Linked DNA regions of Xenopus tropicalis. The protein of the gene in region 2 purifies or fractionates together with the protein of the main gene of each other region. This does not show direct contact. Links are inferred from orthologs where the notes say so. Each region holds a gene or a part of one and is shown on either strand. Other genes may lie near its edges.

Region 1 (4,365 bases), on a different chromosome or scaffold from region 2:
AGAGCATTTGTAGCAGAACTCAGCTCTTTGAAGATTACAAACGCTTGTCCTCTCATTTTCATGGTCTTTAATGCCACAATGTCTACAACATGGCCAAACTGGGAGAATAGCGCATACAATGATCGCTTTAGTTCTGAAAAGAAAAAAAAAAAAAAAAACTTCACAGTATAAGTATAAAAACATGTATGGTTAAATCTCTTGCACGGATTTTGATAAGGTGAAAATAGAATATCAGTATTAGTTATTACATTTATTACTAAAACCAGTGCCATGGGATATTCTGCACAAGAAGCTTTTCTGTGCATATTAGTGATTATACAAATGACTGGGTGCGGCCGTGATTGCACATGTTGCCGACACTCTCTCCTTTCGTATTGCTTGCTGATTGCAGTGGTGCACATTTTAACTGAAGCACCTAGGCAGGCACCATCCTCAATAAAAAAAAAACATCTAAAATGATAAGAAATCGTTACTGATGGCCTTTTTACCTACTTGCTGCCATCAAATGCTAAGCACTGGTGAGCACTAGATCAATAAACAGCAATAATATCTAGGGCAAGAAGCATAATAAATAGCAGAAGAATAGTAGTATATGAAATGGAAAAAGTAGACTTCTGAGCAGATTTTTTTTTAAGTTAGTTTTACACTTTTAAAGCTTGAAGGATATTTAAGTTTGTTTGTTTTTCTTCATTTCTCTGCAGTTTTTACTATTTAGGGGAATACAAAGGATATAGGAGAGTAAAAAATGCCTTCACAGATAACAGCATAAGGAGTTGCAATACCAATGCTGCTGTCTAGATGTAAAGTGTACTCTGCCAGGAAAGACTGTATAGAGTGTAGACTGAGAGTGTATAATATTCAACATTTAAACGCTCCTCACACTTACCCGGTTTTTTTACTTTATCACAGAGGTTGTTGATGTAGACAGTGTGATTTGGCCGAATATCCATGGCTTGTATATTCTAAATACTGAAAGAGATGTTAAAAAAAAAAAAAAGGACCTTAGATATAGAAAAAAAGTACAGTATTACTCAAGGTTCTTTTCTCCTTGGAGATGGACTACTGTGCCACACACACATTTTTACCAGTGAGCCACATCCAAATGTAAAAAGAGCTGGGGAACAACACAAGCATGAAAAAAAAAAAAAAATTCCTTCTGGTGCCAAAAAAAGGCTGTTATTACCTCTTTGGTATTCCTTACGTGGACTGGCAGCCTAAAGGGACTCTGTTGGGCAGTACATCTGGTTTTTATGCAACCAAAACTCCAAGCCAGGAATTCAAAAATAAGCACCTGCTTTGGGGCCATTGGGAGCAACATGTTGCTTATGAGCCACTCATTGGGAATCACTTCCCTAGAGTAAAGCAATAATTTTCAAAAGCCAGGCACACTGTAATATTACCAAAACTAACCCGCCATGATATTGCACATTAGACAAGCCTGCGAACCACATCTGTCAGACCCACTTTCAGATCAGAATATTATTATTGTATATAACATGTGCCATGAAATTCCAACTGAATTCAACCTACATAAATCTATACATAAAACCAAATACATGCTTGTACAGGTATGAGATCTGTTATCTGGAAACCCATTATCCAGTTTATTAAAATAATTCACTATTTGAAAATATACTAAATTGTTCTCTGTTGTAATAAAACAGTACCTTGTACTTGTTCCCAACTAAATTATTTTTTTAGTAGACTTAAGGCATGGAGATCCAAATTATATAAAGACCCCTTATCTGGAAAAGCCCAGGGGTCCCATGCCTGTAATAGTATAATGCATGCTTTTAAATTGAATTTCTTTTTATAGCCTACAATTTCAGCAACACAGATAAGACTATAAGGCATAGCCCGGCATATTTTTCAATAAATATGAAATATACAGACTACTACAAAATAACATCCCATTATTAAAAACATGTAACTGCTGGATTTAGTAGTACAGGTATGGGACCTGTTATCCAGAATGCTCGGGACCTGGGGTTTTCTGGATAAGGGATATTTCCGTAATTTGGATCTCCATCACTTAACTCTGTTAAAAGTCATTTTAATATTGAATAAACCCAATAAGATTTTTTGCCTCCAATAAGGATTAATTATATCTTAGTTGGGATCAAGTACAGGTACTGTTTTATTATTACAGAGAAAAGGGAATCATTTAACCATTAAATAAACCCAATAGGGCTGTTCTGCCCCAATAAGGGGTAATTATATCTTAGTTGGGATCAAGTACAAGGTACTGTTTTATTATTACAGAGAAAAAGGAAATCATTTTATAAAATTAAAATGATTTGCTTATAATGGGGTCTAAGTGAGATGGCCTTTCCGTAATTCAGAACTTTCTGGATAATGGATCCCATACCTGTAGTATTATGATTTAGTCACTGCACTTTTCTCCCATACCCAACAATATACAGGCAAACTAGCCTGCCCCTGTGTATATTAGTGTGTGTATAATACACAATTATAAGCTTTAGTGCAGCTCTTTCCCAGCCATACACTGGCGACCCCCAGTCGCACACAGATCAGGGACAGCTCTATTGATTGGTTGCAATGTATGGAAACTGATTGCAGTTACAAATCAATCAATACCATTAATTACCACACGAAGTTGCCCCTTAACCGAGTTACAGCTACATATAAACCCGCACTACAGGCGCGTTTTATTCCAATAGCAACAGAACGGGCAGGAGTTGGACGTGGCTGCTGGGGAAGTTGTTGCTCATTACCCGCTGCCAGCTTCTCACCAAGCGAAGGAGCGGAACGTATAGAACTATTACCAAAAGAAACCCTCGTACAATGACAAACAAGCCCGGCAATCACCCATACAAGCTCCTTCCTTACCGCTCACACACGCTTCCGTGCGCCTTACGGCTCCAAGCTGGCGTCGCACGTTGATTTCCAGCAAACGCGCATTAGAACAGGAAAGAGACGTACGTCACGGCTCCGAGGTCACTTCGGCCATCTTTCGTAAGGGCAAAACCGCCTTCGCATAATTGATCATAAAGTTATTTTCTTTGACGTTTTGTACATTCCCAGGTTGCGACTAGAGTGTCATATAATAAACAACTGTTTTTGTCTTTCCGCCAAAATTTTAAGCACCTGTGTAATACAGTGGAACGGCGGTATTCATTATTAAATTATGGCAGGGAACGTTAGGGCAATACGTGGGGGTCAGGGCTGTTTTAAATTCATTTGGGAAGCAACAATAGTACAAATTTTACCTCATCTATAGTAACTTATGGCACCATTTCACCTGTATAAAATCAAACATGTATTGCTTGCTCTCTAGGTTACTGCAGCTGGGTAAATGTCCTTTATATTACATCTTGAGAAGAGGTGCACAAAACAAGCACACCAGAGCTGTTAACCAACCCCATGATAATGATCCACTCCATGCCTTTTTGAGTCCTTATTTCATGTTATCATATAGGGGCCCATTCATTTTTTTAGAAAAAAAAATAGCATTTTTCTATAGAACATTTCGGAATGTCCACAATAATTTCGCTCACATTCCACGACTTTTTTGTGATTTGCACTAACTTCGTATTTTTCGCAAAGACTACAACCATTTCGGGATTCATTCAACCTTTGGTATCGTGACTATCTTTTGGCCAGGTTGGAGCTGCAGAGTGCCATTGAGTCTTATGGAAGGCTTCCCAAAATCATGCATTGAAGGTTACAAAGCCAGAAAGGTTTTCACGCCATTTATGAACGTTCGGATCCGAAAATTTTGTGACTTTCGTAATGCAACCACAATATTTTGTTAGATGTGTCAGTGACATTGCACATACTCAGTGGGCTCTGGGCAGCTGTTGAGAAGCAAAGCTTAGGGGTTGTCAGAAATCAGAAAGCAGAAAATAAGGTTCTCCTGTTATTGAAGCTGATGCTACAGGGTTTATTATTAAATTCTGGAGCAAACTGTATTCCTTTCATGTAATAAAAATCTGGTTTAACAACTTATCAGCATTGTATTATGGCTTTTATCAGCATTTGCACCCCACATCTTTGTTAAGCTTTAGTTCTTTTTTGACCCCAATACAAGTGACAATTCTTTTACCAATATCTACTGTATTTTAGAGTCTACTCTAGCTCTAAAAATATATACAGTGTAACTACACAGCACTTTGGAGGGGCCTAGTCCACACTTTAACCCCATACTGATCCCCCACTCACCTGCATACATCCCCCACTCTCCACCACTCACTCTCACGTAGGAGAGCAGCCAGTGAGTGGGGATCTCCTTACACCTAAAGAGAAAGTAGACCATGTGGTCTGGGGCCCTTGTCTCCTGGACCCACCCCTGCAACTGTGGGGTCTGCTTCCTATATATTTACACCACTGGGGGTGCCAGTATAG
Region 2 (4,472 bases):
GGAGCTGCAGAGTGCCATTGAGCCCTATGGGAGACTTTCCTTGGGCCGGGTTGGAGCTGCAGAGTGCCATTGAGCCCTATGGGAGACTTTCCTTGGGCCAGGTTGGAGCTGCAGAGTGCCATTGAGCCCTATGGGAGACTTTCCTTGGCCGGGTTGGAGCTGCAGAGTGCCATTGAGCCCTATGGGAGACTTTCCTTGGGCCAGGTTGGAGCTGCAGAGTGCCATTGAGCCCTATGGGAGACTTTCCTTGGGCCAGGTTGGAGCTGCAGAGTGCCATTGAGCCCTATGGGAGACTTGCCTTGGGCCAGGTTGGAGCTGCAGAGTGCCATTGAGCCCTATGGGAGACTTTCCTTGGGCCAGGTTGGAGCTGCAGAGTGCCATTGAGCCCTATGGGAGACTTGCCTTGGGCCAGGTTGGAGCTGCAGAGTGCCATTGAGCCCTATGGGAGACTTTCCTTGGGCCAGGTTGGAGCTGCAGAGTGCCATTGAGCCCTATGGGAGACTTTCCTTGGGCCAGGTTGGAGCTGCAGAGTGCCATTGAGCCCTATGGGAGACTTTCCTTGGGCCAGGTTGGAGCTGCAGAGTGCCATTGAGCCCTATGGGAGACTTTCCTTGGGCCAGGTTGGAGCTGCAGAGTGCCATTGAGCCCTATGGGAGACTTTCCTTGGGCCAGGTTGGAGCTGCAGAGTGCTATTGAGCCCTATGGGAGACTTTCCTTGGGCTGGGTTGGAGCTGCAGAGTGCCATTGAGCCCTATGGGAGACTTTCCTTGGGCCGGGTTGGAGCTGCAGAGTGCCATTGAGTCCTATGGGAGACTTTCCTTGGGCCGGGTTGGAGCTGCAGAGTGCCATTGAGCCCTATGGGAGACTTTCCTTGGGCCAGGTTGGAGCTGCAGAGTGCCATTGAGCCCTATGGGAGACTTTCCTTGGGCCGGGTTGGAGCTGCAGAGTGCCATTGAGCCCTATGGGAGACTTTCCTTGGGCCAGGTTGGAGCTGCAGAGTGCCATTGAGCCCTATGGGAGACTTTCCTTGGGCCGGGTTGGAGCTGCAGAGTGCCATTGAGCCCTATGGGAGACTTTCCTTGGGCCAGGTTGGAGCTGCAGAGTGCCATTGAGTCCTATGGGAGGCTTCCAAAATCATGCACAGAAGGATCAAAGTCAGAAAGATTTTCCCACATTTTACGACTGTTCAAATATAAATATATATATCGTAAAGATCCGATTTTATTATATTCTTAAATACAAATTTTTCGTACTTCAAAAAGCATGATACAAAAAAACGTATTTGATACGATTTTTTTTGTATCATGCTTTTTAAACGTATGAACATCGTACTTCGATAAATCTGCCCCATAGAATATATTTTAATTGCATTTTCTTTATTGTACTTTATTTTTGGCAAAGTATGTTTAGCTGTAGACTGCCCCTTTAAAGGAAACAGTACTATGGGGCCGAAAAAACGCAAATCTTTTATAAAGCGAAACGCCTATTAACAGGATATCCGGTGTAAAAGTTCATCGCACAAGAAGGAAGAGAAGCGTCTAAGCGATTCTTTAACCAATTGGAACCCACAAGCTAAGTTTCCTAGGCGTAACAGCAAGGAAATGACGTAAAGTCCATGGGCGAGAAAGAGGCTTGGAACACAGAACTGGAGTGAACGCGCGGCCGGCGAAGGAAAGGAATTTAAACAGACATGGCGAAGCATCATCCAGATTTGATTTTTTGCAGAAAACAGGCGGGCGTGGGTGAGTTGCGCTGGGTAATGTGTTCGGTGTAACGGTGTAAAACTGAGGACAGAAAACTCTCCTCTCGTAGGCATTATAGATTGGCCGTTTCTATTGATTGCCTTTCTAAATCATTCGGATAGCACGTTCGGTACTTGTGTATACTCTCCTTGTATGCGTATGTAACAGGTATATGTGTTCCCTCACAGGGCTTCATTAACCCTCTTTTATTTGTTATCCACAATACTTCAGTTTTATAATTGTTATGTATATTTATGTTTCAGATTGTAGTTTGAGAGGTGGAGCTTGAACCTGATCTAGTTATACGCTGAATGCTAACTCCTTGATTATTGCAATTCTACTAAAGCACAATCTGACTTTCCTATTTAAACTCATGCAACAGAACTTGTCCTATATTTGCAGAAATCTGCAGAGAAACCTAACTTCTTATTTAAGGGAAATGTTGATTATTATAATTACAGAGGTGATCTGCACAGTAATGTTACTATTGAAGTGCTTTCCAACATGAATTTCTTATGTTATGAATGTGAGGGAAAATGACAAAACACAATGTTTAGGTGCATCGAATGGGTGAGATTACTCTGTGACCTGTGTAATGGCAAAAAAACAGCGTGCTATAGAAACACAGATTTGTATTTTTTATTTTTTTTTAATGTTTTCCTTTTTCTAAAGCTACATTGTATTTAACATAACAGATAATGAATTCTAAAGCTTAGGGCTTTCATTGTTGTGGACCTCCTGGTAATCTGATACTATACATGCAATGATACGTCGGTACATACAATACTGAAACAGTTCCAGCCAATACCATTTGAGGTTAATTAATGCCTTACTGAATTTATAAATTAATTTCATGTTTGTACTGGCAAGTTGTTGGAGCTAGTAAAGCTAGTCTTTACTACAGCTTTCAAAGGACATGTAAACCATTTATCTTCCTACCACGTATATAAGTTGGCACATACCCCCCCCCCCAACCAAACTTTACCATTTGTACTGCATATAACCCCTCTGTTTGCCAAAACCATCACATTTTCCTAAAGCAAATAGCAGCTTTACCCGGTGGCCATATTCTCTCTCGCACATCTTTAGTGACATTAAAGGAGAAAAAAATGTTAGGCAGCCCCACGTGGCTTTAATCGCTTACTTTTTACCCTGTGTGGTGCCCCTGTTAGGAGAAAACCGCACCAGCACTGGGTAGCTGTGAGCAAGTGTCTCCTCTTCCTTCTCATCAAAATCCCTGGGCCGGTGCATGTGCAGTAGAGTGAAAAGCCGACTTTTTTGTTAAAGTTTGGCTTTTCACTCTACTGCGCAAGTGCGCAAAGAAAGAAGAGGAGACCACACTCGCAGCTACCCCAGGCTGGTGCGTTTTTCTCCTAACAGGGGCACCAGCCCGGGGTAAAAGGAAAGCAATTAAAGTCACTTGGGGGTGCCTAACGTTTTGACACCCCCAAGTGACTTAGCCTTTCCTTTTCCTTTAACATCTGTAAATTGCACATATTAAAGTTACTTTAACAAGAAGTCCTGCTTGGATTGTGCCCTGTAACCGTAAACTGAGCTCCAGCAGATTACACAGCGAGAGCAGCGTTTCTAGGGAAACCAGCAGTGATCTCTTCATTGGCTGCTAGACTGGAGGCTGTGTTTGGTAACCTGAGTTAAGAAGAACTGAGCATGCTCGTTAGCCACCAGCCGAAGTCAATTCATAAGGGATGGGGCAGAGCGGGTTAGAGGAGGAAAAGAAATCCTAAGTGATTAAGGGGATACTGCAGCCTTTCTATTAACCGTTTGAACAACAGGAGTGGCAGGTATTTAAAGATTTCAATGAGGCTGTTCACTGATTACATTTTTGTTTGTTTTACATGTCCTTTAAAGCATTTTAGATATTTAAGATATGTGTACAACATGATGACCACTGTTTAATATATATATATATATATATATATATATATATATATATATATATATAAACACTTACATTTATAATTTTCTATTGCAGCTATTGGAAGACTCTGTGAAAAATGTGAGTATATATAATTCTTAAACTTTTAAAATATAAATTGCATTTGTTCATATGCAAAAAATGTTTCACCTTTGTCTTCTTTGTGCAACTGATTATTTCTCAACAAGCAATGGTTTTTAAGTGTTGCTGCCAGTCCTATATCTGATATCTCTGATATATCTGATTATATATTCTATATTCAGCAGTTGTATTACATTAGACATTATTAAAAAAATGACATTGCTTAACATCTGCTGAGTGGGGAAAATCAAGAATTTACAGTCTGTTTAAAAGTGTGTGTAGTTGTGGGGTGCATGTAAGGTTAGACTTAAGGTCCTCATACACCATAAGATCCGCTCGCTTGGCGATGTCGCCAAGCGAGCGGATCTTCTCCCGATATCCCCCACCTATGGGTGGGCGATATCGGGAGAATCCAGGGTAATTCGATCCCTGGGGCCAAATGATCGAATTATAACAGCAGGTATAGGAAAAGTCGGTCCGGGGACTGCATCAATGAGCCGATGCGGTCCACGATCCAACTAGATTTTCTAACCTGCCCCATCGAGATCTGGCCAATTTGAGGCCAGATATCGGTCGGGCAGGCCTGTTGGGAGTGCGCTTACACGGGCCAATTAGCTGCTGAATCGGCCCAAGGGACTGATATCGGCAGCTACTATCGGCCCGTGTATGGGGACCTTTAGTCTTTCATTACCTATATATCACAGCATGGTATG

The links.
Region 1: the proteins of phf5a (region 2) and snrpb2 purify together in Homo sapiens (affinity purification with mass spectrometry; 4 studies listed by BioGRID and IntAct, with this or other methods). This does not show direct contact. The link is inferred for Xenopus tropicalis from reciprocal best matches to the Homo sapiens genes PHF5A and SNRPB2.

Annotation. Positions count from the first base shown.
Region 1 is NC_030681.2:29,852,136-29,856,500, reverse strand, and holds the start of snrpb2 (U2 small nuclear ribonucleoprotein B''), read right to left. Parts: upstream 2,890-4,365; 5' UTR 2,851-2,889; intron 2,849-2,850; exon of another isoform or gene 2,599-2,848; intron 970-2,598; 5' UTR 951-969; coding exon 887-950; intron 134-886; coding exon 1-133. UniProt on the Homo sapiens protein: Involved in pre-mRNA splicing as component of the spliceosome. Associated with sn-RNP U2, where it contributes to the binding of stem loop IV of U2 snRNA.
Region 2 is NC_030680.2:120,351,074-120,355,545, forward strand, and holds the start of phf5a (PHD finger-like domain-containing protein 5A), read left to right. Parts: upstream 1-1,556; 5' UTR 1,557-1,690; coding exon 1,691-1,742; intron 1,743-3,735; coding exon 3,736-3,759; intron 3,760-4,472.